Linked DNA regions of Drosophila melanogaster. The protein of the gene in region 2 purifies or fractionates together with the protein of the main gene of each other region. This does not show direct contact. Each region holds a gene or a part of one and is shown on either strand. Other genes may lie near its edges.

The links.
Region 1: the proteins of prd1 (region 2) and unc-104 purify together in Drosophila melanogaster (affinity purification with western blotting; one study listed by BioGRID). This does not show direct contact.

What each region holds. Positions count from the first base shown.
Region 1 is NT_033778.4:16,762,937-16,767,790, reverse strand, and holds the start of unc-104 (uncoordinated-104), read left to right. Parts: upstream 1-1,790; 5' UTR 1,791-1,958; exon of another isoform or gene 1,959-2,176; coding exon of another isoform or gene 2,177-2,401; exon of another isoform or gene 2,402-2,430; intron 2,431-3,416; 5' UTR 3,417-3,653; intron 3,654-4,450; 5' UTR 4,451-4,493; coding exon 4,494-4,593; intron 4,594-4,657; coding exon 4,658-4,740; intron 4,741-4,798; coding exon 4,799-4,854. Other genes in the region: CG5348 (uncharacterized protein), read right to left, coding at 1-15, 76-150, 220-554, 612-922; CG42392 (uncharacterized protein), read left to right, coding at 2,177-2,401. UniProt on the Drosophila melanogaster protein: Required for presynaptic maturation, has a role in axonal transport of dense-core vesicles carrying synaptic vesicle precursors, components required for the morphological transformation of axonal growth cones to mature boutons.
Region 2 is NT_033777.3:11,780,721-11,788,562, forward strand, and holds prd1 (pruning defect 1), read right to left. Parts: upstream 6,295-7,842; 5' UTR 5,903-6,294; intron 5,709-5,902; 5' UTR 5,649-5,708; coding exon 4,763-5,648; intron 4,694-4,762; coding exon 3,815-4,693; intron 3,745-3,814; coding exon 2,906-3,744; intron 2,851-2,905; coding exon 2,698-2,850; intron 2,639-2,697; coding exon 2,235-2,638; intron 2,180-2,234; coding exon 1,966-2,179; intron 1,913-1,965; coding exon 1,712-1,912; intron 1,651-1,711; coding exon 1,282-1,650; intron 1,220-1,281; coding exon 1,100-1,219; 3' UTR 411-1,099; downstream 1-410. Other genes in the region: HisCl1 (Histamine-gated chloride channel subunit 1), read left to right, coding at 6,862-6,974, 7,045-7,228, 7,302-7,611, 7,726-7,842.

The DNA.
Region 1 (4,854 bases), on a different chromosome or scaffold from region 2:
TTTTGGTACGCGTTGCTAGGAAATTATTTTGTTAACAATATATATATATATATATATAAATATATAATTACTCACAGGCTATGGTCTTTTGCAATAAGTACACATCTGCCACGTTGATAATGATGTAGCTAATGTAAACCAAGAGTACAACTAAATTTTAAGTCAGTGCCATTACATTTTTGCGAAAAAGAGAAAATCGACTTGGGCTATTATGCTTACTGAAAAATTTAAATTCATAGCCCAATGCGAAATGGTTTGTCGTGTATGCAAAGTAATCCATCAATAAAGTCGCTAAGAGAAGAAATAAAATGTCCCGGACAGTTTCGTAGGAATTCATCTTGAAGGGCGAAATGTAGAATATTAGGCCACCGGAAATCGTAATCACAAACAGGGCTGACGACAAGTTATTGGCAAACACAGGGACATGTCGTTCAACGCTGGCCAAGTTGGCGAAAAAATCGGCAGAAGTGTTTCCAAATGCCATCAGGGTAACTCCCGCCAAATGCTCGTTCATATGAAGGAATCGGGATACGGCCTTCAGAGCAGGACTATAGCTGCAAAAGCAAGCATTTCAAGCTCAATTTTAATCTTCGCTTTAGTTAGCTACTTACTAAACATTGATTGTGTAAATTAGTAGAACCAATATCTGAAAGCAAAACGCCACGAACAAGGCGATGAAGATCATTTCCTGGAACTGATTGATACACTTCAGATCGCAGGCCAAGAGTCTCATGTATGGAATTACATTTGTGCTCGAATTGCAGTCCTCCGCTTTCTGTACGAACTCACATCGCTCCTCGAACGGAAAGTTGTTGGCCGCAAAACAGCTAACCGTTTTCCAAAAATTGTCGAATTCCGCATCCAACGCGTTTTTCACGGTAAAAACATCGGATTTGGTTGTTTTTGTGTCGATGGCCGGCATTTTAGTTTTACTTGTTTGTAGTCCGAAATCTTGGCGTTGAATTGGGTAAAAGTGAAACTAGTTCTGGGATTACTTTGATTTCCTAAGAGCTATCAGAAAAAACTAATTCAACAATTAATTCCGGCTACAATCGCTGTTTTCGATGATAATACTTGTATTTTTTTTTTTGCACTTTAAACCACTTGTTAAGCTTGTAAACTTCATAATTAAAAAAAAGTTAAATGTAATGATGAAAGATTCCCCACAGATGAGGACGTCCAGCTTCCAGCACATTCTTTTACCAAGCCCCATTCTTTAACATTTCCCTACCAAAGCCAAAACCTCCAACTTTTTACTGCCCTCCCAGCCTCGCCGTCAGATTTCAATGTCAATGTAATTACGCCGTAGAATATATACATAGTATACAAATACCTACTACCGATTACCGACTACCGCGTAACATAAAAAGCCAAAGCTTGTCCTGCGTCTCGGTGCGATGGGAAATCAATAAAAAGAATTCACTTTACGTCATCAGCTGGTGGATAAAGCCGTCGCTATAGCCACTGTGCCGGCAGCGATATGTGAAATGGCTCATAATAAGATCAAACATCGGGGAAAATTGGGGGTCTGCCACAGTGGCCGTCCGAAAAAGTGGACACCTTGCGCTAATAATGAAATTCCTTGTGCCCGCGGATGACAGACGGTCGTTTTGTTATTGCGGACCTTTTACGCTATGTGTATGAAATTTATAAAAAAAAAAATTTTCGCATACCCATATATACCATACAGCCCACACGGTTGCTGTTCTTCCAGTTTTGTACCCCGATTGCGGCGCATGCGTCCTGCTGGTGGGCTGGTCGTCGTATCCTCTGAACTTTCCCAGAACTGCTCACTGTGTCGTCTACCCTTAACGGGTGCAGTTCGTTCTGGTCTCGAGAGTCGTGCGCGAATTTCATTTCCTAAGGCCTTCCGCTGACTGGCCATCGATTTTGTGCAGAAAAGCTCAGAGTTTTCATCAGCGAAAAGTTGCCCAACCGTTTAAACAAAGCGCAGCCAAGTAAAGCAACTAACAAGTTTCAAATTAAAACAATTCGATACAGTGGCAAACTAAAACTTTATCAATTATTTGTCCCCCAAAAAAAGGAGTGAAAATTTTTCGCTGTTATACAGAAAGACAGACCCCTACACATATATACACATATACGAGAGCCTACATATATATATAATATATATTCAAAAATCCTTTAGCCAAGTCAAGAAGAAGAAACTACGCGAATGTGCGCTTTTGGTTACCTATTGTTTTTCGCCCTATTGTTAACAACAATTCTGGTGCTGTCCATTATATTCGCCACTACCTCCAAGCGATCCATGTTGGATAGCTTTGTACTAGTATTCAATTACACACAAGAACACCAGCCAGACCAAGAAATGCAGCAACAACAACAACCAACGGACTATCAGCAACAACCACAAATGTTCCTAAAACAGAAAATATTTTGAGTTCCATGGGTTAATGAGTATAATGCCCCGAAAAATAATAAAACGAAACAGAAAATCAATTGGTAAATGCTTCAAAATATATTTGCAAAATTTCATCAATTCGCTCGACCGAACATTTCAAAATTCTCGATAAAACATAGCCCATAATTACGTTTTACATAATTTTGATTCGCTAATTTTTGCCCCCCCCCATCATCTAGTGTACAGTGGCCTCCAGAGTAGTGTGCATAGTGTGTGTAGAGTGTAGAGATTTCCTGGCTCGGTGTCCATGGCAAAGGCAACTTGAAAATTTATTAATAAAGGTCAAGAAGAACGCAAGCGAACGCAAGGATATTACCCACGAATGAGACGGGGCGCGCATATGAGTGTGGTGAGAGGTCCTGCATACGGTATTAAGTGCCCGCCGTGTTGCCCCGCAGGAAGCCATAAAAAATATGACGCAGAAGGCAACAAAAGCGTGGTATTGCAAAGGACCTCGAGTGCTTAGTTCGTTTCTCAAGTGCAAATGAGGGTTGACTGTGTGACGAATAAATTTTCAAGAGCCTGGCCAGGTAAAACGAGCTAAGGACGTTGAGAAGTGGACATTCTCGAAAAGGATATAGCCTGATTTTAATTTCTTATAGTCGTTCTTTTATCGTTTCGTGCGCCTTCAACCAGCGTCAGTCTGCATATCATACAAAAAATAAATAAAATACATTACACAAATATTTAGCATATCCTATCCCACTTTCGCTCCCACACTCTCTATATATACTCTCGCCTTTCTCTGTCTTCTCTCCACATTTCTCCTGTCTCGCGCTTCTGCGCAAATCTTCCTGTGGAGACTTTTTACTGCAGGCTGTTGCACATTTGCTTTGACAGTTTGTTCGGAAAATTGAAAGAACAAAAAAAAAACATAAACAAAAGTATTTTGGTCAGGTAAACAAAGAGAGAGAGAGAAAGGACAGGAAAGAGAGAGCAATTCTCACAGCTGCGCATTGGAATGGCTTCTAAACTTGGTTTCACAATATTTCAGGACGCTAGTGTACGCGAGTGAAAGAATTTCTCAGTTGGTCAAGTGAATTTACCACTAGAAAGTTAATAAATAAAGCAAAGAGTGACAAACGAAAAAAAAAACAAATTTTACCTTATCAAACATTAACTAAAAATCAAATCACACATAAGTGCAATCGATTCCTTACAACTTATGCTATAATGAGCTTTAAGGATATAGCCGCCCAATAAGCCAGCAATCGTTTGGCCTAAACTAAAGGTAATTTAATCTCCATAAATGGTAGTTATTTGTTTTAACAAAGTTAAGAAATATATTGAAAATACGCGTTATGCATCGCCTTTAAAGGGTCCTTTCTTTCTTTTGTGGGGTGTGAGTACTTTTCTTTATTCTGCCTCTTGTATTTGCTCGATGACTCATTCGACTATTGGCCGACACTCGTCTGCGCTTTTATTGGAAGCATTTGTGGATTGTGGAATTTTTCCCCCTGCTTCAAGTGTGTGAGTGTGTGTGCGTGTGTGTGAGTCAGAGGGTAAAAACTAGAGGGAAAACTATTTGCATTAAAATCCATTACGATAAGTGATAAAACTACTGAAAAACAAACCTAAAATCTAACAAAATTATAAAGAATTTTTAACTTTCTTTAACTGTATCACTTCTTATTAAAAAAAAAGAGGAGAAAGAGAACTCACCTAGAATGTTTCGAAAGCAATAAATCTTCAATCCTTAACGTCTATTGTTTTATAAGAAATTTGTATTATAAAATAGTTGGCAATGTACCCGGCTTAGTCTTCGACGTATTGCACATATAGGACAGCAAATAATAAATTCTTAGCCCCACCCCTGGCTTCAATTCAAATTTCCCTGGCGAGTTGCCGGGGGTATGACTCATAGCTTCGAGCTGCCACAGAAACAAATCGTGGACGAGTGTATAACCATAAAGTTGGGGCAATTATAAAATGTCAGTGCTGGGCAGTGGTAGTCTCTGGCCAATTTGCAGCCCACTCGAATGACTCGAATGTCTATAAAGTATTCCCGTTCCTCTATTTCCACTCCAGTTAACCGGAAACCAGGACACCCACAGAGAGGAAGAAGGACAAGATGTCGTCGGTTAAGGTGGCGGTGCGAGTGCGCCCCTTCAACTCGCGCGAAATAGCCAGGGAGTCGAAATGCATCATCGAGATGGCAGGAGCCACAACGGGTGAGAATCCCATAAACACTCTAGATTTCTCTTAATTAAATACTTCAATCTTATGTCCTGACAGCCATCACCAATCCAAAGGTGCCGCCCAACACAAGCGATTCAGTAAAGCGCTTCAACTTTGATTACTCCTACTGGTCACATGATGTAAGTTTTATTTCGAGTCCAAGAAAAAATTTTACTTAAATTTATATTCGCATCACAGCACCACGATGCCGATTTCTCCACACAATCGATGGTGTACAAGGACATTGGCGAGGA
Region 2 (7,842 bases):
CGATCGACGGAAGATACAAATATTCTGAGTATCGAATAATAGTTAGAAAACTCGATCACCGGCACTATCAAATATTTTGATACTCTCACACTCATGGGTACAGAATGTACCTGCAGATACTTCGATATACCGATGTACATATACATATGTATGTACATAGTTGTGCACATGTACACAATGTATGTTGATGTTAGGTTATTTGTATGTAACTTGTTTCCTTATTCAGCATCCTCTCCAGACCCCCACTCCATCTCCCCCACACTCATTCGGAATATAGGGTCCCACACAGCATAAACCCGACTTAGAGCCCAGAAAACCCTTTCCTCTGTAAACCCTTTCACCACTTGCAATTATTGAAAATGTCAAGGACCATCAGCGAGCTCAGAATAAATAAAAATTCGTTTTGTAATGGCGTTTATTGGTTTTATTAATTATCATGAGCTTTTAGTGGGCTGAAAGGCTTACAGCGAAATGTCGGGCGTTGGGAGGGGAATTTAATCTATGCTAATTGAAAAGGAGAGGCACAGCATTGCAAAATAAGATTAAGTCCACCATGCACACTTTTCCTAATACACATTTATAAATGTTTGTTTTGTTTATTTTATAAATAGCCACATATTGTTTGTCGTATATCATATGGATATGATCCTTGGACCAAAAGAGCACCCCCAAAACATAACATTACCGATTGATTACATGTCCAATATTCGTATAAGTTAGATTATGTATAATATTTTGTTTCTTATTATCTGTGCAATATTTGTACACAATGTATTTATAAAAGGTAAGAAATAACGAATGTAGAAAATCAATAGAAACTAAATATCCTACAAAAGAGCATACCAAAGATCAGCGACTTTAAGTTTAATATCACAAAAATTATTCAAATGAGATGTTACTAAGCGCAAACGAATGAATGAGTCAAGCGGAGGCACGCATTACAAAATCATAATACATAATACATACAGACTATATAAATATCAATACTTTTTGTTCTTTAGCTATTTGAGTATTCAGGATAGAATATTTAACGCTTGAGTAATGTATATGGAAATATAATTTTCTATTTGTAAATGGAGTATATATGGCCAGAGCCACGTTAACCCAGCGCAGCTGATAGCAAAGGCTCCCAGGCCCTATTTGTGTCCATATAAAGTTTATTATATTGCTCGGCCAGAGAGTCACCGTCGTCTAGTATGGTTATTGGAAATAGATCGTTCTGTAAAATTAGAATATTTCGTTATTGCTAAGGAAAGGTTTAGTAGTCAACGAGAAACATACATTCTTAGACTGCCAAAGCTGCTCTAGCAACCGCAGGAAACGTTGCATTTCCATGCTGCTGGCAAAGAATATAACCAAATCGTCCTGGTTTTCCAATGGTGCCTCCTGGCAGGAGAACTCCAGAATGCACCACCAAGTCTCGCTCCGCGAGGTTATCTTAATGCCAGTCATCTCTTTGATGTCCGCACAAGTTAGTATGGCTAAACCGGAGTTCTTTCCGTAAACACTGGTCATTCTTTGTGATTTTTCCGGCGAAGCTACAGTTTCTTTCGGAGCTGCATCTTCGTTTGTTTGCTTAGTAGGCGTAGAGCTTAACGAGGAATATGAATGTTGAGTGCCACGGGTAGGAGTACTAATGGTGGAACCCATCTAAAATTTTAAGTCCAAATGATTACGAAGTTTGATTTGCTAATACAATAAGCGCACTTACTAAGCTACTGGTTTCAAAAACACTGAGCATATCCTCCTCAAGCATGGTTTCTTTATTTCCCTGAACGGCTGCATTGTTATCCGCCTGCTGGCTTATTTTTCGTAGAGGAGCCGAAAAGTCTTCACGCAGGGTTATTAAATGGTTATCCGTGACGATCAACGTGCATCCAAGGGTTTTGTGCTTCTCCTCTTGAACCACAAGCTAAACACAACAAAAAGTTAAAACAAATCTTCTAATATTAATTGTCTACTTACGCCACTGGCTGATTGCAAAAGAGCCTGGAGCCACTCGGAGGCTACATACTCGTCGGGCGCAGCCATTTGCAGGACTTCGCCCTTTAGCGTAATCTCGAAGCAGTGGGGGCGCTCTGATTTCACAGTTCGCCGGGCGCCCTGACACTCGGCGAGGGCCATGGCCCAGCTGGGAAGCCTTTGGGTGGAATCGTTGAACATATACAATACGCCAGCTCTAAGAAATGAACACATATTAAATTGAATTCCTTCAAATATCGAGAGTTACGAACTTCAGTAAAAAGTATCCTGGTTGCCAAAATATTCTGTTCGCTGCTGAAGTGCTGATCGTCTGCCTAAGTCTTCGATGCATGAGGAATCCCTTCATTGAAGGTCCCAGCAGTTCGCTTGGCGATTCGACTCTCATTGACCCTCCAGCTGGCACATTAACCACTGCATAGAGCATCCAATGTTCTGCTACGCCAACACAGCTGTTGGCACGCACAAAAGCCTGCAGTGGAGCCAAATGTTCTAGAGTCAGCTGACCAACTGCAGGCAGAGTGGATCCACTGCGTCGGGCACACAACTCCAGGTTGGCTACCAGGGATCCGGCTGGATACGGACCACCCGCGAGCAGGACCTGCTGCATGTCTCGATTACTGTTGCTGAGCAAAACTGTGTTGCCAAAAGGTCCCATCTAAAAAATGATGTTGCATTAACTAATATATCACAGCAATGTCATCCGTTAACATTTACCAGTATGACATCCAAGTCCTTGTAGGCCAAAACAAACTTGACACACAGACTATTTCCTTCCATATTCACCACATACAGAGTTTTATCAGTGAGTAGGACAAGTACAGGTGTCATGATGCCATCTACATTGTAGCCTGTATACAGTTTGAAAGCCTGAAATGATAAGTTTTTATAATTGATTGCTATTTGCTACACAATTACAATCTACCTTCATTAGCTGCTCATTTGATTGTTTCAGATTGAACAAGGACTTTCCTTTGAATACATCAATTGAGATCTCCCCAATGCCAAGTTCGAAATTGGACAAGTTGCCTTGGAAATCGTTATCCAAACTAATGGCAAGTTCCCGTCGCGGCGAATTCGTGCCACACATCTCAATCTCCATGGCAATCTCTGCATTTAAGTCATCTATAAGCTCGTAGTTCTTTGGCCGAGCACCCTTCACATACAGATCGGATCCGGCATGCCTCTGTTCGGTTCTCAATTTATCGGCAAAGAAATTGTTCTTGCGTATGGAGGTTTCCATTATTTTCTTCTGTGTGACATTACGAAGGAACCTATTTATAAGTGAAGTTTTGGCCGCCGGAGCTGGCGGCTTCAGTAAGTGAGCATAGTCCACATCTGTGTAGTCTACGATGACCAAATCGCTGTCCATTGAGCGCGCATTAGTTGTATCTGTAGTGGTTATAGTTAGTATGTCGTCAAACTCTTCGCTGAGAATAGTGCTCTTTGAGTCGCGACCACTACCTCCTGGTCCTCCGCGTCCAGCGGCTAGGTAGGCACTGGGGCTGTGGAGGCTCCGACTTTGGTGAGGATGCTGTTGGTCGTAGTAACGGGGCGGCTGTAAGGGTTGTCCACGCTTCTTGAGCGGTGAAGGAAGGTGTCGAGACTGACGCTCCGCGTTGCCCAGCTGCGGATTCATTGCGATTTGATGGTTGCTGCTGGTGTTGGTGTTCGAACTAGGTTCGGATATGGTTGATGAGGAAAAGTTGCGCTGAAGTTTGCCCGCGGCTGGTGCTTGTTGCTGCGGCTTAGCGATTTTTGAAGCTATATAAGCATAATGAACAGTGTTAGTCATCGGGGAAAATATTAATTCAAATGAATATTATTTGCTCACCAAAATAGTTATCTGTGACTGCTTGCTCGTCCTTTGCAACTGGTGTGCTGTCTTTGAAGCTTCGAAAGAAATTACTAAACGTCTTGGCAATGGGAGCATCCAAAAATGATTTCTTAATTTGACTAGCGGCCGGCTCTGCGATGGGAGTGTTTTGCTCGAGCAGACTGGCTACACTGGTGTGCTGAATACCGGATGAGAGTTCGGATTGCAGATCCCCCGTCTCGTAGGATACTCCGGTGTGTTCGAAAACAGTGCTCTCACAATTAATTATAAACTTGCTGCGGAACTCGCCCTGTGCGCTGCCCATTGGCACTGTTTCCTTATCGAATTCCTCTTGGCGATGCAACATCAGTGACTGTTTTGACTCCATCGGCGAGGCTTCCGTGGAGCTGGCACCATCGTCTTCGTTCTTATGCCGCAATTGCTCATCAACGTTGTGCACGAATTTCTTAACTGGTTGTGCCTGCTTGCTGCCGTCGAGACTCTTGCTGAGGAATGGCTTAGCTCTAAGAGGCGGTGACTCGGCCGCCGGCCGCGATTTGTGCTCTGGTGTCTGTTCCAGCTCAGGGACGCATTCCACCACCGCCTGCAGGTCTTCGGAGCCCTCGGGAACTCCGCGCTCCGGCAATGGCATGGTAAAGATGCTCTTTAGCGATCCAAATATCATCTTGCTACTGTTGTCGAGCAGTTGGTGCTTAATGTCGTGCACGTTAAACTTTTTTACCCGCCCATTGAGATCCTGCTCGAGTATGACATTTGTATGTAGCTTAGTTTTCTTTAAGCAGCTTGATTTCGGCTTCTTCTCCTTATTCCATACGGACTTGACTTTGGGACTGTCAGCATCTCCGATATTGGGCTCTGAATAGTAGCAATTGTCACCTAATTGTGGGATAAAGATTAATGTGGATATACATCACAAGGATTTAAGCAGAATGTTATATAGCTTACCGATTAGATTGTTGTTAGCATTGCTCATACCAATGCAATCACATGAGCTGCTCTTAGCCTGCTCGTACTGCTTACAATTCGCATTGGAATTTTTGTCTTGTTCGTCGGAATCCAAACTGGAGTTGGAACTGCTGCACACGCACTTGTAAAGTTGGGGTTGCTCTTCCTGTTTTTGGGTCGCAGGGCCGTACTCAAAGACACCTGAGGTGTCATAGTGCAGACCGGGCGCCTCGTCCGTGTCAAAAATGTTGTCGTAGTCCAGCACATCCGAGCAGGCATTTCGGTAGACCAGATGTCTCTTTCGCCTGGCACCTCCGCCACCGGTAGCCTCCTCGCCATCGTCTTCCCTGCCAGCGGCACTGAGTTCATTAGGTCCCTCCGGACGTTCCCGATCCGGACACCAGGAATATCGTCCTGGAGCGCCGGCCACGCCCGCTGAGTTAGCGAAGGCCAACTTGCGTCCGTTCTTGTAGGTGATAAAGCCATGCTCAATGTGAATGTTGTCGGTACGAGTGTTCTTCAGTATGTCCTCGTGGAAGGACACTCGCTTTTTGGGAGTTTTGGAGGCGGACGAAGCTTTGTGCACTTTGCGACGGTATACAATCTTCTCCGTGGTGTCGAACGTAGAGCACTCGCTAATGGTCATAGACTCATCCGGCGCTGCAGTCACATTGGAGTTGGGATCCACCAAAGGGAGGGGCATCGGTCTAACGTTTTCCTCGTAGGAGCAAATGGACTCCACCATCACATCGCTGTTTTCCGAGTCCAGGAGTTGTACTCCCGAATCGCTGGGCGTGGTGTCCTCCATGGTGCTGCTGTTCAAGCTGGAGCTCATCTTGTCCATGCCCAAATTGTTGTTGGCCTTGGGCAACAGAGGTGATTCCATGGTCGTTTCGATTTTCGCACTTGTCAAGAGTTATCTACGCAGTGATTTTCGTCTATTAACCTACGGAAAATTGTAAAAGTCGGTAAACCATTATTTGTGTATCTCGGCGTTCTTGCTATTAATCAATATCCACAAGTTGCACAATGCGCCGCAGCAAATCGCGCCAGTGCACAAAGGAAAATGACCCCTGACCCAGCACCCCCTTGAAAATCGCACCGGGATTAAATTCACACACCGCTGCTTCTGTCACTCACCTGCGATTGTATCGCAGGATTCCATGTTACTGTCGATCTGGGTGGTTTACGTTTCCTTTTACGCTTGCTTTAAGAGTTTTATGTGCAGATTTATCGCCACTTGTACATTTTAGAATTGCCAAAAAAAAACGTCTTGGCAAGTGAAACAATCAATATTTTGACCTCATAGAGTTGCCAGTTCCGCGAACAGCTGATTGCGCGCCAGAGCTGCCAGATAAGAGAAGAGGTTGGCAACGCGGCCTGTTACAGCAACGGGAAGTTCCGGTTTTCAAATAATATTTTTGTAAATTTTAAAATTCAACAATTATTTAACACATTATGTAAAATGTTCCTGAAGAGTTAATTCAATTTTAAGACAAGTTTGTATTCGGCTTTTATTTAAAATATTGTAGAGCACGTATTTGCATTTCAAGAAAATTGGGATTTAAAGTTAAGAGCAAACCCAGAACAGTTTGTGAAAACGTACTTCGAAAGCAAATGCCGGAACATGCCGATAAACCCATTTTTGACATCGACAGTTGGCGCCCAGTTCGCTTGTTTCGCGCAGTCAAACGGTTTTTCATATTTCACAGATATTATTCGCAAATACAGAGTGGACATTTAAATTAATGCCCTTGTCAGTGGGTGCGAACATCATTTCCTCTTTGCCATTTCGCTAACCGGGGTCAGTTGTCAATTTGAAAAGTAGTGTAGTGTGGGCGAATGCCAATGAAAGCGAATGAAACCTTAGAAATCAATTTATCACACTTTGCAGCACATCACAATCGTCGCGATAACTCTGCCGTTTCTTTATTGGTTTTTGCTGCGCGACGAGTAAAATATAATTCCTCGCTTACTAATCCTCCGAGCAAGTTCATTCTCAAGCGCACCCAGAGATGAGCTACTTTGGGAATTGACATGGACTGCGGAGCAATGAGTGCCAGAGGAACAATATCAAAGCCGAAGGTAGTGTGTTCATAATGCAAAGCCCAACTAGCAAATTGGTAGAATTCAGGTGCCTGATTGCGTTGGCAATATATTTGCACGCGCTGGAGCAATCGATCCAGCACTGCCATTGTGTTCATGGTTACAGGTGAGTCCGAGTGCGTTTGCCCAGTTTCATCAGATTTACGCCACAGGGCTGTTCTGTTCCACATATGCAGAAATAACACGGAGAGCGCCGAGCTGGTCTCCCACTACGAGTCGAGTCTTTCGCTCCCGGACATTTTGCCCATTCCCTCAAAGACGTACGACAAGAACCGGGCTCCCAAGCTCCTCGGCCAGCCCACAGTAGTCTACTTCCATGTCACGGTCCTCTCCCTGGACTCCATTAACGAGGAGTCTATGGTCAGTAGAATGTGTTCATCTTTTCAATACTCATCACTCAGCAAACACTAATTGGCTTATCATGCTCCTTTAGACCTATGTGACGGACATCTTCCTTGCACAAAGCTGGCGTGATCCTCGCCTGCGGTTGCCTGAGAACATGAGTGAGCAGTATCGCATATTGGATGTCGACTGGTTGCACAGCATTTGGCGGCCCGATTGCTTCTTTAAGAACGCCAAAAAGGTCACCTTCCATGAGATGAGCATTCCCAATCACTATCTCTGGCTGTACCACGACAAAACGCTGCTCTATATGTCCAAACTCACGTTGGTCCTGTCGTGCGCCATGAAGTTTGAGTCCTATCCGCATGACACGCAAATCTGCTCCATGATGATCGAGAGTTGTAGGTGGAAATGTAATGGTTATCTACACCCTGCAAATCCCGTATCGCTTGGAACTTTCCATTCCGCTTCTCGAATTACAAATAATCTGTGTTGAACCGAGTTTTGATTGGCAGTATCCCATACGGTGGAAGATTTGGTTTTCATTTGGAACATGACCGACCCACTTGTGGTTAACACGGAGATTGAGTTGCCGCAGCTAGACATATCAAATAACTACACAACCGACTGTA